4 linked regions of the Drosophila melanogaster genome follow. The protein of the gene in region 4 purifies or fractionates together with the protein of the main gene of each other region. This does not show direct contact. Each region holds a gene or a part of one and is shown on either strand. Other genes may lie near its edges.

Region 1 (3,080 bases), about 10 Mb from region 4:
ACAACCTGATGCAACCAAATCGATATATCTGCAGGACGAAAAGTACTCCAATCAGCAAGTATTTCATTAGGTGGCGAAAAACGATGCTTACCCACTGCTAGGATTTTGCCCTCCAAAGTCTCTACGGGGACTGGCTTGCCGCACGGCTCAATGAGCTTCCACAAGCCCGTAACTCCCATTTTCTACTAAAATATTAATTGTATAAAACATGCAAAATAATAACTAACTAAACTTTTTGTTGCGATAAGACGCGCTTTTTTAAACAGCTGTTTCCAGTGCTGGAAAGAACACGCGGTTATCTATCTGGATGATTTTTAAAACAGTGATTTTCTGATCACATATATAAACAAATAATTACTGAAATACTTAAATATTATTCTGACACCTTTATATACTTTGAATGAAGGCGTAAAAAACTAGATCGGACTGGATTGAAATGCGGCATTATTTAAGGGTGTAATTCCAACCGTCACTTACAATCCCAAATTAATCCCATGTAAACGTTGACTAACAACATAATTTAGTCTTTGAGGAAAGTGACAAAACACAAGTGAAGTTCTTAGATAATGCCTATGTTTAATGTTTTTTGTTAATGCTCAATACTAGCTTTGTTCTTAATGACTGAAGAGGATAATTGATCCGTATAGTTTCTCCTATTCGTAATCACTCGGGGGCTTCCTCTGCTGTTGCGGTGGCACTGGCGTTGGCATTTTCGGCAGTGTTGGAATCCTTCTTGCTGGCCTTGCTCTCCTTTTTCTCCTTGACCACTTTACGATAGACCTCGAGATCCTGCGTCAGAGAGGGCACGAAGCTTTCGAAGTCTAGCTCGGTGAGGGTCTGTAGAATATCCTTGGCCGTGATGGTCTTGTGGTTCTGCTTGTGGGCCAACGCCGTCGACGAGGATGTCACGAAGATGGCAAACACAGATGCCGCTCGGGCGATCGCTGCTCGCGCTTCCTTGCTGACACTAGCTGACTCCGGCAGTGCTTCCTTGATGAGCCGGCCAATCACGGCATTCGGCAGGTTAAGATCCTCGATGCGCTCGACCATTTTGCTGCTGCTTATCTGCTTTTACTTGGTGGGCACTTTTGATTTTCCGTCTAGATTTCGGCGTCTTTGCTTCCCGCGTAAAGAGTAAACAGCTGGCTGAACAGTGTTGGACAAGGCCAGCGTGCACGCATCTACACCAGCGATGTGGCAACTCCCCCACTCAATTCTGTTTGCGCCGCCTCGTTCGCATCAATTGTTTACACATTTTTATAAATAACAGCCAATTACCCCGGCCTAAATGTGCACGGAGCGATTCGGGCCAAACTTGAAGCTGTTCCCCTCCGAACTAACGTGATACAAGTCCTGTGCGTGTGCCAGCTACCACGCACATGGACCAGCAACAAGCGACGCCGCCAAAAAAACGCAGGCACAGCGAGTACCACGATCCAGATTATCAGCAAACGGAAGTTTCTAGCCAGGATGAGGAAGAAACCTGCGCAGAAGCCGAGTCGCCCGGTCAAAGAAAGTGGACCAAGACGGAACAGTCGGATGGCATGCTGCCGTTGTCCGACAAATTTCAGCGCATCCGGGAGCTGCTTCGTCTGGAGTTCCAGCGCGAAATCTCTCAGAAGGTCGAGCAGCTGGCCGAGATCGACCGACGACTGCTGCAAGGACGACAACTGTTGGACAGACTACGCTATCAGGTGGTCAGCGAATATTACCGAAAGCAGCAGGTCCCCCTCACCGGCGCGGATATTGCGAAAGTGCGCGGCGACAGCCTTTTTGGGGACGACATAGCCGCTCCGCAGCTGCCACTGCATCCAGCCATTAAAAAAATCGTTGGCAAGCGCCCTGTTGTCATCCAAAATCATTTGCCAGAGCGCACGGCGGCCACCTTGGCCAAAGAAACCATCCGACTGAGGAATCCGGCTCATCGTCGGGCGGAACGAAGGCGGCAACAGAAGATCAAGGAGCAGGGCATCGTAACCGATCACTCCAAGGACAAAAAAGATCAGCCAGAGCAGGAACCTCCCATTTCCGTTAAGTTGGAGGACGAGCAGCCGTGCACCAGCCGACAGGCCCACGAAAGGCAAGTGGAGCTGAATGCCTCGCGGCTGAATAACAAGAACAAATTCAACTTCGTGGTGGGTAATACTTCCAAATACATTGGCGAAGACTCTCGAGAGAATGGCACAGGTGGGAATGCTTTGACCTATAAGTGGTTGGTCTATGTGCAAGGCAAAGATCTACCTGAACCACTTGAAAAATACATTAAAAAGGTAAGTAATTCCCATAAGCACGTACGGAGTGATTCAATCTCTTCTTCGCAATTCTAGGTGCGCTTCCACCTCCATCCGTCATACCGCCCAAACGACATCGTGGACGTGCACAGGTCTCCGTTTCAGCTTAACCGACATGGTTGGGGCGAGTTTCCGATGCGCATCCAGCTATTTTTCCAAGAGCACTTGCAGCAGAAACCCGTGCAACTAATGCACACGGTGGTGCTGGATAAAACAATGTGTGGACTGCACACGATGGGCGCAGAGACCACTGTGGAAATATGGCTGAGAGCAAAACAGGCGATAACGAAACAGAAAAGCGGCAAACCTCATCCTCCCCATGAACAGGAGACTGCAGTTCCTGCTCCACCTCTGGCTGCTCCGAATGTTTTAGAGCCTTCGGTTTTCGCCTTTCCTGGAGAGTCATGCAAACCGCGCACCATTTCAATCACTCAAAATAAGGAGGAACTTGATGACAATCTGTTTGCTGGTATCAACAAAATTGAACTCAGCGACGACATTGAGAAAATTGAACCAACTGTGTTGGTTTCAGAGCCCCTGAAGTTAAACTACAGTCCAAGAAAGCAGCCACCCACTCCGTCATCGCCTCCTAGGACTCAACTTCGGTTAAATGCGGCTCAGGTCACCGCTTCGAAGCCTTCTGTGGTCTATCTGCCAGTAAACGGCCGAAGTCCTAGGCAGGAATCCTTGCCAGAAAGGCAGCGGCAGGAGTTTTCGCCAGTAAAGCACTATCCACCGGCATCTCCGCAGAGAGCGTGGAAGGAATCCTCGTCGGATCGGCCACCAATA
Region 2 (3,985 bases), on a different chromosome or scaffold from region 4:
TCGCGGAGAAGGTGGCTATCGCAATGACGGACCTCGCGGAGAAGGTGGTTATCGCAACGACGGACCTCGCGGAGAGGGTCCACGCAATGAGGGACCGCGTGGAGAAGGCTACCGCAATGACGGACCGCGTGGAGAGGGATTCCGTGGTCCCCGCTTTAACAACGGACCCAGCAACGGCTATGAAAACAGACAAGACAACAACAGATTCGGAGAGAAACGCCGCTCCGCCCAGAAGCCACTGAAGGTTGACGATGAAGCTCAATTCCCCACTCTGTGCTAGGAGTTGAGAACAACAATAAGATTTAATAATTTCGCGTATTAAATAATTAGTAAGCTGGTCCTTCGGTTAACAAATAACCATTAGATTTTCGGGCGCGATCTATGAAGCTTGACGACCGATTAATAAACAGAAACAAATCAGCCACGCTTATCCATATTCCTTAGTTGTAAACAAAAATTTTTGCATTTTTCACTCTCATCATTTACGCATAAAAAAAACTATTACAAATAGTTGGAATGTTGAAATAAATTTACATCAATTACAAACCAAGGAATAATAATTAATTAGGTTTTTATTAGCTTAATTCGCTGCCATCCTTAATCTTTTGAATGAATGCACTTAATTCTTGCGCCGAATACGATTTCTTTCGGCTCTTCTTCGGCGGCGCGGCTTCCATAGATGACGGTTCACGTTTGGTCTGAGAATAGATTGAATTTTTTTAGAACTGCAATTACAGGAAATGTTTTAAGAACCTACGAAGTGTCTGTACTCGGGCGAAATGGACTCCAGTTGCAGCAGTCTATTTTCCACTCGTTTGATTCTACTGAAAATGTTTTCCTCGTTGTCGGTGGTTAGACCCATGTACGATTCAATTGCCTGTAGTCGTGAATTGGGTAGCGATTTCCTCATTTCTTTGGTTGGATCCGTTTGACCGTCACGCGATCCCATTAGTTTATTCAGTTCGAGTTCGTAGTTGGGTCGCATTTCCATTTGCTGAGGTCCGCATCGGTTGTTTACTCGTCGGACTGTGATAGGTTGTTTGTAGACCAAAGTGGCTATAGTTATGAAAATAGAGCATCGTTTACCCACCTTTTAAATGGCAATTTGACTGCTCCTGCTTAATAATTGTGCTCTGCGTTCGAGCGCAGGAATCGCTCAAGTTTTGGTCTGAGCTGACAAAAGACGATTTGAAGTCAATTACATTTTGTGAGTTTATTTCGTCTCGTTTTCTGTTGACAAAACATTCTAAACGCTTGGTTAACTCAGCGTCATTAACTCTAATTTGCACCAGAGTTCGCGGGACGTCATGTGACTCCTCAACTTTGCAGGGACAAGCGGCGTAGTTGAAGCCACTTTTCGATTTCTCTACAATGTACATGCACAGATGAGAGAGAAGCCAATAAAATCGTAAACGCTCGATTGTTAATTATATTTACAAGTGTACAAATAATAAGAATACATGTCATGCTGGCTACTCATAAGATCTTACTAGGCCTGATGGACTCCTTGTTCTCCTTCCATTCGCTGTCGTTATCGCCGTCGTAGATTTCCTTTTTCCAGATGGGAACCCGAGTTTTTAGCTGGTCTATTGCAAAAGATACTGATTCTAAGGCCTCAGAACGATGTGGTGACGAGGCGGCTATAACTACACTGGCTTCGCATACGGGCACTGTTCCCAATCGATGATATATGACTATGTGCTTCAGATCGAGCCACTTAGATCGGAGATCTGAGCATATTTTATTCATTTCCTTGAGTGCCATGCTATCGTAGGCCTCGTACGCCAATGACAGCACCTGAAAGGTCGAAAAGTACAAATGAATCAATGAAATCAATTGATTGAGATAATGAAGCCACCTTTTTCCCTTGAAAATTATCGCGCGTAGTGCCCACGAAAACGGATGAGGCTCCACAGCCTTCATCGGCCAGCAACTGATGGATATGAGCGATATCTATGGGGTCGTTTACCAATTTCACGTGATCCATGGCGGAAAGGTTAGCCTCCACTCAGTGGCGGTATGATGGCGAGTTCGTCTCCTTCCTTAAACAGAATTCTATCACTCAGGTTGTCAATGTACGACTCGTTGTGGGCCAAAATCAAGTTATCCCGGATGGAGGTCAGGCCAAATTTGGACACCAGGTGGTCCAGCAGTTCGGTGGCAGTAATTTCAGTAGGAACTTCCACTGTCGACCGGGGAGTGTTTGCTAATTCACGGGATTTAGCAAAGAACAACACGTGCACGTTGACAACAGGTCCATCCGCATTCATATTTACAAATGAAGATTGGCGATGACACAGCAGTTCCATTTTCCGACTACCTATGTATCGATTTCTTATCGGAACGAAGTGGAATAGTCCACGGAAAGGGAAACAGCTGACTGAAACTTTATTAAATGCTTAATAACTTTTTAGATAAATCAAAGAAGCTTCTTACTCATTGCATAAACAATACAAATATTTAATACATAGTAATTATACAGCGAATTCATTCTGACAATCCGAATCATCAACAGCATACAATCGATATATTTTGTTTAAAGTTCGTCCATCGCAATTTACACCGATACTTAATTTCGCAAGTGAATAAAATTGTTATTATTCCCTATTAAACTAATTTAACTTATCTAACGTAGATAGCGAACTTGTGAATATTTAATGATAAGTTAAGTTGCCAGATAGATTCTTTTTTCTTCACTTTCCGTGTTGACATCGTCAACTTTCCATAAAGAACCATGAAGACACGTTTCAATACCTTCGATATAATCTGCGGAGTGGCGGAACTGCAAAAGTATGTAAAAAATCCGGATAATTCCGATGCCCAGGAATAATGGTACATCTACATTTATATTCCAGGCTGGTCGGCTGGCGAGTGAATCAGATCTATGACGTGGATAACAAGACCTACCTCTTCCGGATGCAAGGGACCGGTGCAGTGGAGAAGGTCACTCTGCTAATAGAATCTGGTACAAGATTCCATACCACTAGGTTCGAATGGCCCAAGAACATGGCTCCGTCCGGTTTCAGCATGAAGTTGAGGAAGCACTTGAAGAACAAGCGCCTGGAAAAGGTTCAACAGATGGGTAGCGATCGTATTGTTGACTTTCAGTTCGGTACCGGTGATGCCGCCTACCATGTTATTTTGGAGCTCTACGATCGTGGTAATGTGATCCTCACCGACTACGAGCTGACCACGTTATATATTTTGCGTCCGCATACGGAGGGCGAGAACCTGCGCTTCGCCATGCGCGAGAAATATCCCGTGGAACGGGCCAAACAGCCCACGAAGGAACTGGAACTGGAAGCTTTGGTTAAGCTGTTGGAAAATGCCAGGAACGGCGACTATTTGCGACAGATTCTAACACCCAACTTGGACTGTGGTCCGGCAGTTATAGAGCATGTTCTCCTCTCACACGGCTTGGACAATCACGTTATCAAAAAGGAAACAACGGAAGAAACGCCGGAGGCGGAGGACAAGCCGGAGAAGGGCGGTAAAAAGCAACGTAAGAAGCAACAGAATACGAAACTGGAACAGAAACCATTTGACATGGTTAATGACTTGCCAATTCTTCAGCAAGCAGTAAAGGTAAGAACAATATCGTGGAAATATTTATTATTGCTGTTAAAGTAAATAAAACGTTCTGTGCAATCTTTTAGGATGCTCAAGAGCTTATAGCTGAGGGAAATAGTGGAAAAAGTAAAGGCTACATTATTCAAGTTAAAGAGGAAAAGCCTACAGAGAATGGAACGGTGGAGTTTTTCTTTAGAAACATCGAATTTCATCCCTACCTCTTTATTCAATTCAAAAACTTTGAAAAGGCCACATTTGAGTCCTTTATGGAAGCCGTTGATGAATTTTACTCTACGCAAGAGTCGCAAAAGATTGACATGAAAACGCTACAGCAAGAGCGTGAGGCACTAAAAAAGCTGTCTAATGTCAAGAATGACCACGCAAAGCGTCTAGAGGAATTGACAAAAGTCCAAGA
Region 3 (5,638 bases), about 10 Mb from region 4:
TTAATTAGTTAATCTAAAGAGCAGCAAGCGCGGGAAGCGGGCTCTTCTCTGCTCCACTTTGATTTTAGGTCTTGTTGCGCGCACGTCGGAAAAGAGACTGAGGAAAACAGAGCCAGAGAAACAGATGGACCTCATCCCTACATTGGCGGCATTGGCATGCGCCATGAATGAAATCGATCGGTGAGCGGGGAGAGCGAAGAGAGCGCCCCCAAAAGAGATGCGATTGCGACCGATAATAGTCGAAGAATCATATGGATATGCTAAGAGCTGCAAAAAAAAACCGCCCTTTAACAGTTATTCAATTTGTTAACGGCACTTTTCACTGCATACTTCTAGGGCACTATAAAGATATATTACTCTGTGAAGATAGCTGATAAGACTTAAAAATGTTTACATGTTTCGTACAAATATGCAATTGTAGCGATTATTATTTATATTGATAAAACAATTTAAAAGTCTTCAGCCAGATATTCAAAATTTAAAAATTAATGACCACTCATCTCATGATTTCGTCCAAAATATGATAATCGTTGATAATTAAAAACGCAGTATTCATTTCTTCGGACATTAATTTAGTTAATTTATTGCTTAGATTTATGCTTACCAACGAGTACAAGGCTCTAATTAGATATCAACTAATATCCCAGTAGAATTTGAACTATGACGCGGACTTGATAAAAAATAAATTCAAAACAATGGCAACTGCACATTAGATTTGTGGTTCTATCGGAGCAACTCCCAAGTGACTGTTTCCGAGGAAATCCAATTCGGAACACAGACTGATGACACGGCCTATGTCCTGAGGTTGGAGACACAACGGAGCATTGGCCGCCGCCGGTGGCAACTGTTCCAAAGTCTCCTGTTGCAGTTTCGCCGCCAAGGAGCGGCGCACCAATTTCTCAATAAAAGTGCGCAGCACTTGTCCGAGCATCGAGAGAGCCAGTGGCTGGGAGACGCCAGGCGGAGATTCCTCCGGTTCCAGTGTGATATTAATGTCCTTGCACATTTCCTGGACCAGCTGCAAGGTCGAATCCAAGTGCTTCGGCGGAGGTAGATAAAGTAGTTGGCGATGATTCACCATTTGGAAAGATACATCTGCTGAGTTTGTTAACCTGGACGCAAGCGGATGAGGTTTGTCCACACCCAACACATCGATGAACTCCTTATCCCGCATCTGTTGATCATGACCAAGCAGACGATCGGATTGCTTGGTTATCCAAGCTTCCAGCCGATTGCCTGAGCTGAGACTGCTATAGGCCGACAGTTGCGGTTGGGGCTCGCCCTTTAGTTGCGCCTGAACACGCCGAGCCAGTTGCTCCTCATCGCTCAGTTTTTGTTTTCTCTTTTCATGCACGACAGGTAAAACATCTTTGAGAGCTGGCGTATAACCATGAACCCTGGCGAACGCCACTATCTCCCGTAAACTCCAGTAGTGTTCCTTTCCACTAATGTCCAACTTATGCAGCTCGTGGTGCTGCATCAGACAGCGACGGAGCATACGTGCGCGCAGGTACTCAAAGCAACGTTGTTTTAGAGCAGTGTGATTGTGGAACTCTTCGAGGGTTATACAAGTGAATGGATACTCCTTTTGCTGATCAATCGACGCAAGCGGGAGGCGGCTCAGCAGGAACTCCACAGCACTGCGCATATTTCGGAATTGTGCACTTCTAAAGATGTGCTCCAGCCTTCGGGGTCGCGATTGTATGGTAGTGTCCACAATTGGAGGTAACAGCATTGGCTTTTCCTCCATCTCGCCGCTCATGTTGGCGTACCCATGATCGTGCTGCATGCACTGCAGCATATGCCATCGCGTTTCTGACGGTGGCTTAAGAAGACTCAATTGTGGTTTCAGCAGGGATTGTTGCTTTGCAGCCTGCTTAAGCTTGCGCTGCAAGGGATCGATAATGTACAGCTTTCCTGCTCTCTGAAACACAACATTCTTCTTGCCCTGGTGATGGCCATTGGGCACAGGCTTTATTGGTGGCCGATCCGACGAGGATTCCTTCCACGCTCTCTGCGGAGATGCCGGTGGATAGTGCTTTACTGGCGAAAACTCCTGCCGCTGCCTTTCTGGCAAGGATTCCTGCCTAGGACTTCGGCCGTTTACTGGCAGATAGACCACAGAAGGCTTCGAAGCGGTGACCTGAGCCGCATTTAACCGAAGTTGAGTCCTAGGAGGCGATGACGGAGTGGGTGGCTGCTTTCTTGGACTGTAGTTTAACTTCAGGGGCTCTGAAACCAACACAGTTGGTTCAATTTTCTCAATGTCGTCGCTGAGTTCAATTTTGTTGATACCAGCAAACAGATTGTCATCAAGTTCCTCCTTATTTTGAGTGATTGAAATGGTGCGCGGTTTGCATGACTCTCCAGGAAAGGCGAAAACCGAAGGCTCTAAAACATTCGGAGCAGCCAGAGGTGGAGCAGGAACTGCAGTCTCCTGTTCATGGGGAGGATGAGGTTTGCCGCTTTTCTGTTTCGTTATCGCCTGTTTTGCTCTCAGCCATATTTCCACAGTGGTCTCTGCGCCCATCGTGTGCAGTCCACACATTGTTTTATCCAGCACCACCGTGTGCATTAGTTGCACGGGTTTCTGCTGCAAGTGCTCTTGGAAAAATAGCTGGATGCGCATCGGAAACTCGCCCCAACCATGTCGGTTAAGCTGAAACGGAGACCTGTGCACGTCCACGATGTCGTTTGGGCGGTATGACGGATGGAGGTGGAAGCGCACCTAGAATTGCGAAGAAGAGATTGAATCACTCCGTACGTGCTTATGGGAATTACTTACCTTTTTAATGTATTTTTCAAGTGGTTCAGGTAGATCTTTGCCTTGCACATAGACCAACCACTTATAGGTCAAAGCATTCCCACCTGTGCCATTCTCTCGAGAGTCTTCGCCAATGTATTTGGAAGTATTACCCACCACGAAGTTGAATTTGTTCTTGTTATTCAGCCGCGAGGCATTCAGCTCCACTTGCCTTTCGTGGGCCTGTCGGCTGGTGCACGGCTGCTCGTCCTCCAACTTAACGGAAATGGGAGGTTCCTGCTCTGGCTGATCTTTTTTGTCCTTGGAGTGATCGGTTACGATGCCCTGCTCCTTGATCTTCTGTTGCCGCCTTCGTTCCGCCCGACGATGAGCCGGATTCCTCAGTCGGATGGTTTCTTTGGCCAAGGTGGCCGCCGTGCGCTCTGGCAAATGATTTTGGATGACAACAGGGCGCTTGCCAACGATTTTTTTAATGGCTGGATGCAGTGGCAGCTGCGGAGCGGCTATGTCGTCCCCAAAAAGGCTGTCGCCGCGCACTTTCGCAATATCCGCGCCGGTGAGGGGGACCTGCTGCTTTCGGTAATATTCGCTGACCACCTGATAGCGTAGTCTGTCCAACAGTTGTCGTCCTTGCAGCAGTCGTCGGTCGATCTCGGCCAGCTGCTCGACCTTCTGAGAGATTTCGCGCTGGAACTCCAGACGAAGCAGCTCCCGGATGCGCTGAAATTTGTCGGACAACGGCAGCATGCCATCCGACTGTTCCGTCTTGGTCCACTTTCTTTGACCGGGCGACTCGGCTTCTGCGCAGGTTTCTTCCTCATCCTGGCTAGAAACTTCCGTTTGCTGATAATCTGGATCGTGGTACTCGCTGTGCCTGCGTTTTTTTGGCGGCGTCGCTTGTTGCTGGTCCATGTGCGTGGTAGCTGGCACACGCACAGGACTTGTATCACGTTAGTTCGGAGGGGAACAGCTTCAAGTTTGGCCCGAATCGCTCCGTGCACATTTAGGCCGGGGTAATTGGCTGTTATTTATAAAAATGTGTAAACAATTGATGCGAACGAGGCGGCGCAAACAGAATTGAGTGGGGGAGTTGCCACATCGCTGGTGTAGATGCGTGCACGCTGGCCTTGTCCAACACTGTTCAGCCAGCTGTTTACTCTTTACGCGGGAAGCAAAGACGCCGAAATCTAGACGGAAAATCAAAAGTGCCCACCAAGTAAAAGCAGATAAGCAGCAGCAAAATGGTCGAGCGCATCGAGGATCTTAACCTGCCGAATGCCGTGATTGGCCGGCTCATCAAGGAAGCACTGCCGGAGTCAGCTAGTGTCAGCAAGGAAGCGCGAGCAGCGATCGCCCGAGCGGCATCTGTGTTTGCCATCTTCGTGACATCCTCGTCGACGGCGTTGGCCCACAAGCAGAACCACAAGACCATCACGGCCAAGGATATTCTACAGACCCTCACCGAGCTAGACTTCGAAAGCTTCGTGCCCTCTCTGACGCAGGATCTCGAGGTCTATCGTAAAGTGGTCAAGGAGAAAAAGGAGAGCAAGGCCAGCAAGAAGGATTCCAACACTGCCGAAAATGCCAACGCCAGTGCCACCGCAACAGCAGAGGAAGCCCCCGAGTGATTACGAATAGGAGAAACTATACGGATCAATTATCCTCTTCAGTCATTAAGAACAAAGCTAGTATTGAGCATTAACAAAAAACATTAAACATAGGCATTATCTAAGAACTTCACTTGTGTTTTGTCACTTTCCTCAAAGACTAAATTATGTTGTTAGTCAACGTTTACATGGGATTAATTTGGGATTGTAAGTGACGGTTGGAATTACACCCTTAAATAATGCCGCATTTCAATCCAGTCCGATCTAGTTTTTTACGCCTTCATTCAAAGTATATAAAGGTGTCAGAATAATATTTAAGTATTTCAGTAATTATTTGTTTATATATGTGATCAGAAAATCACTGTTTTAAAAATCATCCAGATAGATAACCGCGTGTTCTTTCCAGCACTGGAAACAGCTGTTTAAAAAAGCGCGTCTTATCGCAACAAAAAGTTTAGTTAGTTATTATTTTGCATGTTTTATACAATTAATATTTTAGTAGAAAATGGGAGTTACGGGCTTGTGGAAGCTCATTGAGCCGTGCGGCAAGCCAGTCCCCGTAGAGACTTTGGAGGGCAAAATCCTAGCAGTGGGTAAGCATCGTTTTTCGCCACCTAATGAAATACTTGCTGATTGGAGTACTTTTCGTCCTGCAGATATATCGATTTGGTTGCATCAGGTTGTGAAGGGCTTTCAGGACAACAAGGGATCGGCCCTGAGTAATGCCCATTTACTGGGTCTATTCCATCGTCTCTGTAAATTGCTATACTATCGTGTGCGACCGGTTTTCATTTTCGATGGATGCGTGCCGCAGCTTAAAAGGGACACTATTGTGAGTTATAATAGGGGAATATATCAAATTCACTCTCTAAATTAAATCCTCTTTATGTCACCCCTTCAGGCACGTCGCCAGCAGCAGAGGAATAAGCTCAGCAACGAAGCTGATCGCATTCAGGCTTTGCTCCTTCAATCCCTGGCCAAAGAAAAAGTAGTGCAGCAAGCGCTGGGCAAGAATGCAGAGCTACTGTTGAAATCCCCGGTTAAGCGACCGCCTCCAGCTAAGAAGAACGACGAGGATGACTTGTTTAAGCTTCCCGAACTGCCGGCTGCATCGGTGCAAGATAATCAAGATGAAAGCGAGCAGGACACCAGTGCCAGTGCCTCAGACAGCTCCTTTGACGAGTCAACCGCTCGACATTCTTACAACTCTAGCTTACAGGCCATCGATGTAAAGAGTCAGCATTTTCGGAATCTGCCAGCCGATGTG
Region 4 (5,029 bases):
TAAGGGTCTGGAGAAACTCGGCTACAACTCGTGCACATTGCACGGTGGCAAGGGTCAGGAGCAGAGAGAGTATGCTTTGGCTGCTTTGAAGTCAGGCGCAAAGGACATCCTGGTGGCCACCGACGTCGCTGGTCGTGGTATCGACATCAAGGACGTGTCCTTGGTTATTAACTATGACATGGCCAAGACCATCGAGGATTACACACATCGTATCGGTCGTACGGGTCGTGCCGGCAAAACCGGTTGTGCCATTTCGTTTGTCACCAAGGACGATAGCGCTTTGTTCTACGATCTAAAGCAATGTGTGTCTGCAAGTCCTGTCTCGACCTGTCCGCCGGAGCTAATGAATCACCCGGAAGCGCAGCACAAGCCTGGCACGGTGGTTACCAAAAAGCGCAGGGAGGAAAAAATATTCGCCTAAATTTGGCAAATTCTAAGCAGAACTACTTTAGGTTAAAATTTAAAACTAATAAAGTTGGGTGCGCCAAAGCCATACCTTGGCAACCAAAAATTCTCTTTCGAAATAGTCTTTTGAAACTTTAGATTCATAAACCATTTATTTGAAAAAAGTCTCATCTTTGTAATCTCAAAAAGAAGGCATTTCTGCTCTGTTTCGAGTCCAGAGGCAGATACTTGTCATAAAAGTCCAAGATGATTTCCTCCATCTTAAATCCGAATTTCTGGTACAACATGACGGCCGCGTTGGTGGCGGAAACGTGCAACGTTATGTCCTTGGACATACATGTCTGGATAAGGTGATATAACATGAAGCTGGCGATGCCACTGCGTTGCCAGCACGGCCGCACCGCCATGAATGAGATGTAGGCCTCGTTGTAACCTACGTCGGGCACTAGGAATCCGCAACCGATGACCAGTTTCTTGTACAACGCCACTACACTGTAGTCCGGGTAGCTCAAACACTCGCTTACTAAAAGGGAAAAAATCATACAAATTTGTACATTAAAAAAGCTAAAAAGAAAATCATGAAACCCACCATCAATGTTTGGCCAAAAAGTACTTTGGAGTAATGCGTTTACGGCCGGAATATGCTGCGGTCTCACAAAACAGAAGTCGATGGTAGATCTTGTGGGATGAGATCCGTTTACTCTATGCTGCAGCTCGCACATAAGCTTCAGCCATGGAGGAGCCATCGTTTCGCTCCGAAAGATAAATGGATGAAGAACTCTTTGAGAGTAGGGCGATTCAAAGAGCTCGTATTGAGTGCATCCCGCCAGGCGGGCGTGAAAGGAGCTCCTTGCATCTTGTCGTGAATGGGCTAACAACTGATATCTGTCAAGAATTTCGGCCTTCTGATGACCCAGCATCTTTAGGCGTGCTCTTCCCAGGGGATCTATGTGCTCGTCCAAGTTAAATATGTGTCGATTGTGGTCCCTTTTCCATTTTCGAAGAGAAAGTTTTCGATATAGGCGCCGCACATAGGCAGGTATGGATATGTGGCACTGATGCTCCAGTGCGAATATTCTATCGAGTCGCTGGTACAACTTCTGTTCTTCGTATGCATTTATTAGTTTGAGATTTTCGCTAGGAATGGCCATGTCATCGGGATCCTGCGCCTCCTGCAACCAGGGCCAATTTCGCCGTGGTTGTCTGACAAATCCACTCGGTTTGCAAGGCTCTAGGATAGAGGATTTGCTATTTGTCGTGACGTCATCATCTTGCATTATCTCTTCTAGTGGTTCCTCTTTGATGCTTTCGTTTGCCTCTTGCGCCTGGTAATTTGTAACCTGTACGATGCGTGGCTGATAGTCGGGTGATTCGTCCTCTTCTGGCTTTTCATCTTCTACCTCGCCTTCTTTTTGTTCCTCGCTGCTTTCGGCTGCAGGTTCTTCTGTTGATATGGGTTTGGTCTCATCAGCGGTATTTGGTATGGCAAAATTTGTATCCATGTCGAAAAGACCTTCATTATTCAAAGGTGCGTGAAGCAACGGCTCGGTCATGAAGAAATCATTTTTACCCGCTCCAATCAGGGGTGGGGGCATTATGCCTGGTAGGTTACCAAACATGGTAAAATCATCGCTTTCCAAACTTTCAGCCAGAAAATCCATCAGGCCTGCTTGGACCATGCTCATAGGCTGATTCTGTGGTTCTTCCTCCTTCTGACTTGGTGGCGCTATATTTTCTTGAAGAATTGGTGGCCCTGGAAGCGTTTCCTGTGACAAGGGTGAAGGTTGTGTTTGTATCTTTGGCAAACGGCCCATGTAGGGACTGGAATAAAAGTGAAAGATTTTAATGAAAGGAACGCATAGTTGTATTCAAAATTAATTATCTTACATTGTTCGCGCACAGCCCTCTGTTGAACTGGGTTTCTCAGCTTCTGCTTTAATAAGCGGTGGGTTATCCTGGGCATGATCCGCCACTGAGATCTCGCTGCTACAGCTGGTCTCGTCCGCTGCAGGCAACCGCTTTTCAATACGCATTTGTAGCCGCAACTGTTGCTTTTTCTCATCTGAAATGTGACGACTTGTGAAATCTATCATATCATTAACTTAAGTGGCACTTACATTCTTTGAGAACGCTTCTTGGGGTTTGAAAGGGCTTGGCCAGTTTCCACCAGCCGTTCTCCTGAAAGACATCCAGACCAGACTGAAAGTACTCCGGACTGTTGTGGGACAGTGCGCCGGATACGGAACCAGTCCATTGCTTGCGACGCCGCCTGAACAAGGGGAATAAATTGAATGTGTTCTCCGGAAATTATTCATTTACGAATACTTACACATTGGGACCGAATATATAGTTCCAGTTCTTGTCCACAAAACTGATGATGTGCGTGCGCCAATGGAAGAATCCATGGTGTCCCAAGCCCTTTTGTTTGATGGACAGATTGTAGAGCGTTAGGGTGAGCACCAGCAGCCAAGGTATCCTTTGGCGCACGATCACTTCCTTAATGGGTTCTAGATCTGAGGGTATGACCGATTCCTTAGCTTTATCCAGCACACACTTGACGCACGTGAACTCGAAGAAAACGTCGCCTAAAAGATCTCCGGGCGTGCAAGCATGCGGCAGGCATTTGATGTGAACCATCCGCCTGCATTCCTGGCACTCCAGGTAGTTGTCGTCCTCCACCGGCGATTCACAGTAGCGGCATGGTCCCTGGGGATCATCCCAGTTACTGGGCCGATTCATTTACTCAGTAAAACAGCACAAATTGCAAGTTAAAAACAATCAACAAAATAATGTGTTGTTTGTGTGTTACCGTTTCGCACTTTTTGGTTTATACCATATATATGAGAAGCTTACATTTTGAAAATACCAAAAAATCGCACTGTGCTCGGTTCAAATTTGTCAATAATTTGAATTGGGAAAACAAAAAATAAAATTAATTTGTATTCTTAATTGATCTTTTCTGAAGCACTACAAAACATATTATTATTAAGCACTTATTTATTTATTAACATTGCCGTTTTAAAATGCCGAAGATGTCAGCATTAACATAATTTAAAATAATTTTTTATTGTTAAAATGTCATAAATAAGCATTTTTAATTAATATGGAACAGAGACAAGGCTATGGTCTTCGCATATTATATACCCTCTTCTCAGGTGTATTCAACATTTTCTTGTCACATTTTTAGAAATTGCAAGCAAATATCAAAACACTTTTTAAAAGTTTTGAGCTCTTGGTGGGCGTTAGAGTGGGCGTGGCATTCTTCTGAAACAAACTGTGATGCGTCTACATGTCTAGAATCTGATTGCTCCATCTTAGCTTCCTAACTTTTAAGTTCCCGAGATCACAGCGCTTATACGGACGAACAGAAGGACACGTTTTAATCGACTCGTCCACTGATCCTGATTACATATATATGCTTAATACTGTCGGGAATGACTTTTTCTTTTGTTATTTCTTATGCCAGTTACCTACTTTTCAACGAATCTAGCATATCCTTATGCCCTTATATACACTATATAAAAGATCCCGATTGTTTTTTATGTTCTCCCTATCTAGAAGATAAGAATCCGCTTGATTAGTACAGTCCCGTTTCGCTTGATCAAGCATGCGTTTGTCACGCCCTACGCCCACCAAGCACATTAGTACCAACGCCCACCACCCACCACCCAACGCCCAGCGTCCTTTGGCCATGCAACGAAAATGACATTAATGGGCTCTTTACGGCTTACGCATAATTAAGGCTGTTTCCGGCAGACCATCGACCATCGGACCTGGCCCCATTGCTTTTGGCCCGGTCAGTGTGTTGTCTTAAGCGGGCCTAATTAGGCATCGCCGGCTGCTGCGTTCTGGCGAAGCTGTTGCTTCTGCTTCTGCTTCTGCTGTTGTTGTGTGTTTGATGAAGTGCATGATTGGTTTATGGACTGAAGTGGGATGGTCGAAACTGCAGGCCGGCTAAGTGGGGTATTCAGTTGAGAACCAAAGCTGAACGGATCCACAATTGTTTCTTTTGTAAATCACTTTCTATTTGCCGAATGATTATTACTGCAAAGCATGCAGTTTGTGCATCTTACAGGATATGCACCTATTTACGATTTCACTTCAACACTCATCGTTTTCAATTCAATTTGAATATTGCACTTCAAGTTCTTCCCTGCCTTTAATATCTGTAGTTGAATTCCTTTCAACTTGCTTGTCTGGCGCCTCGAGGAGATTTTCATTTAATTCGCGACTGCCCGCTGGCAAGTCGAAAAGAGCGAAAAATATGGTGAAACAAATTAATTTGTTGGTGCTACTACAGCCAAAAGTATATCCCCGAATTATGTTTTAAAGTATATCTATATCTTAGTTTTGCGAAAGTTAAAATGAGTTTCACTCATAAATCACTTAAAGCTCGAGGGTAAATATTTTCTGGAAAGAGCTTGACAAATTGGATAGTCGTTTACTAGCTGATTATGACATTTACAGATGCGATGCTGGTTAGAATTTGTTTGGCCACCCATTTTGTTCATAACAACCGTATTTGCTCTCAATCACCAGACTTATTGCACCTTAGCTCCACGGCCATGGCTTGACCGTTTTCCGAACGATTTAAGGCCAGGTCCTGGCACAAAGGGAAAAGTAA

Evidence for each region.
Region 1: the proteins of Atac2 (region 4) and Chrac-14 purify together in Drosophila melanogaster (affinity purification with mass spectrometry; 4 studies listed by BioGRID). This does not show direct contact.
Region 2: the proteins of Atac2 (region 4) and Mocs2B purify together in Drosophila melanogaster (affinity purification with mass spectrometry; 4 studies listed by BioGRID, with this or other methods). This does not show direct contact.
Region 3: the proteins of Atac2 (region 4) and D12 purify together in Drosophila melanogaster (affinity purification with mass spectrometry; 4 studies listed by BioGRID, with this or other methods). This does not show direct contact.

Annotation. Positions count from the first base shown.
Region 1 is NT_033779.5:8,435,475-8,438,554, reverse strand, and holds Chrac-14 (chromatin accessibility complex 14kD protein), read right to left. Parts: upstream 1,151-3,080; 5' UTR 1,051-1,150; coding exon 664-1,050; 3' UTR 559-663; downstream 1-558. Other genes in the region: mus201 (mutagen-sensitive 201), read right to left, coding at 1-28, 92-179; D12, read left to right, coding at 1,380-2,270, 2,328-3,080. UniProt on the Drosophila melanogaster protein: Accessory component of the DNA polymerase epsilon complex. Participates in DNA repair and in chromosomal DNA replication. Histone-like protein which promotes nucleosome sliding of ATP-dependent nucleosome remodeling complexes.
Region 2 is NT_033777.3:25,125,077-25,129,061, forward strand, and holds Mocs2B (molybdenum cofactor synthesis 2B), read right to left. Parts: upstream 2,284-3,985; 5' UTR 2,271-2,283; coding exon of another isoform or gene 1,998-2,270; 5' UTR 1,988-1,997; coding exon 1,859-1,987; intron 1,798-1,858; coding exon 1,491-1,797; intron 1,367-1,490; coding exon 1,091-1,366; intron 1,027-1,090; coding exon 758-1,026; intron 699-757; coding exon 576-698; 3' UTR 556-575; downstream 1-555. Other genes in the region: vig2, read left to right, coding at 1-280; Mocs2A (molybdenum cofactor synthesis 2A), read right to left, coding at 1,998-2,270; Clbn (caliban), read left to right, coding at 2,735-2,790, 2,856-3,585, 3,657-3,985. UniProt on the Drosophila melanogaster protein: Catalytic subunit of the molybdopterin synthase complex, a complex that catalyzes the conversion of precursor Z into molybdopterin.
Region 3 is NT_033779.5:8,433,500-8,439,137, forward strand, and holds D12 (D12), read right to left. Parts: upstream 3,867-5,638; 5' UTR 3,677-3,866; coding exon 2,786-3,676; intron 2,729-2,785; coding exon 710-2,728; 3' UTR 559-709; downstream 1-558. Other genes in the region: Chrac-14 (chromatin accessibility complex 14kD protein), read left to right, coding at 4,006-4,392; mus201 (mutagen-sensitive 201), read left to right, coding at 4,877-4,964, 5,028-5,203, 5,273-5,638.
Region 4 is NT_033779.5:18,609,035-18,614,063, forward strand, and holds Atac2 (Ada2a-containing complex component 2), read right to left. Parts: upstream 3,216-5,029; 5' UTR 3,145-3,215; coding exon 2,735-3,144; intron 2,675-2,734; coding exon 2,523-2,674; intron 2,468-2,522; coding exon 2,293-2,467; intron 2,227-2,292; coding exon 995-2,226; intron 929-994; coding exon 573-928; 3' UTR 542-572; downstream 1-541. Other genes in the region: CG10333 (uncharacterized protein), read left to right, coding at 1-421.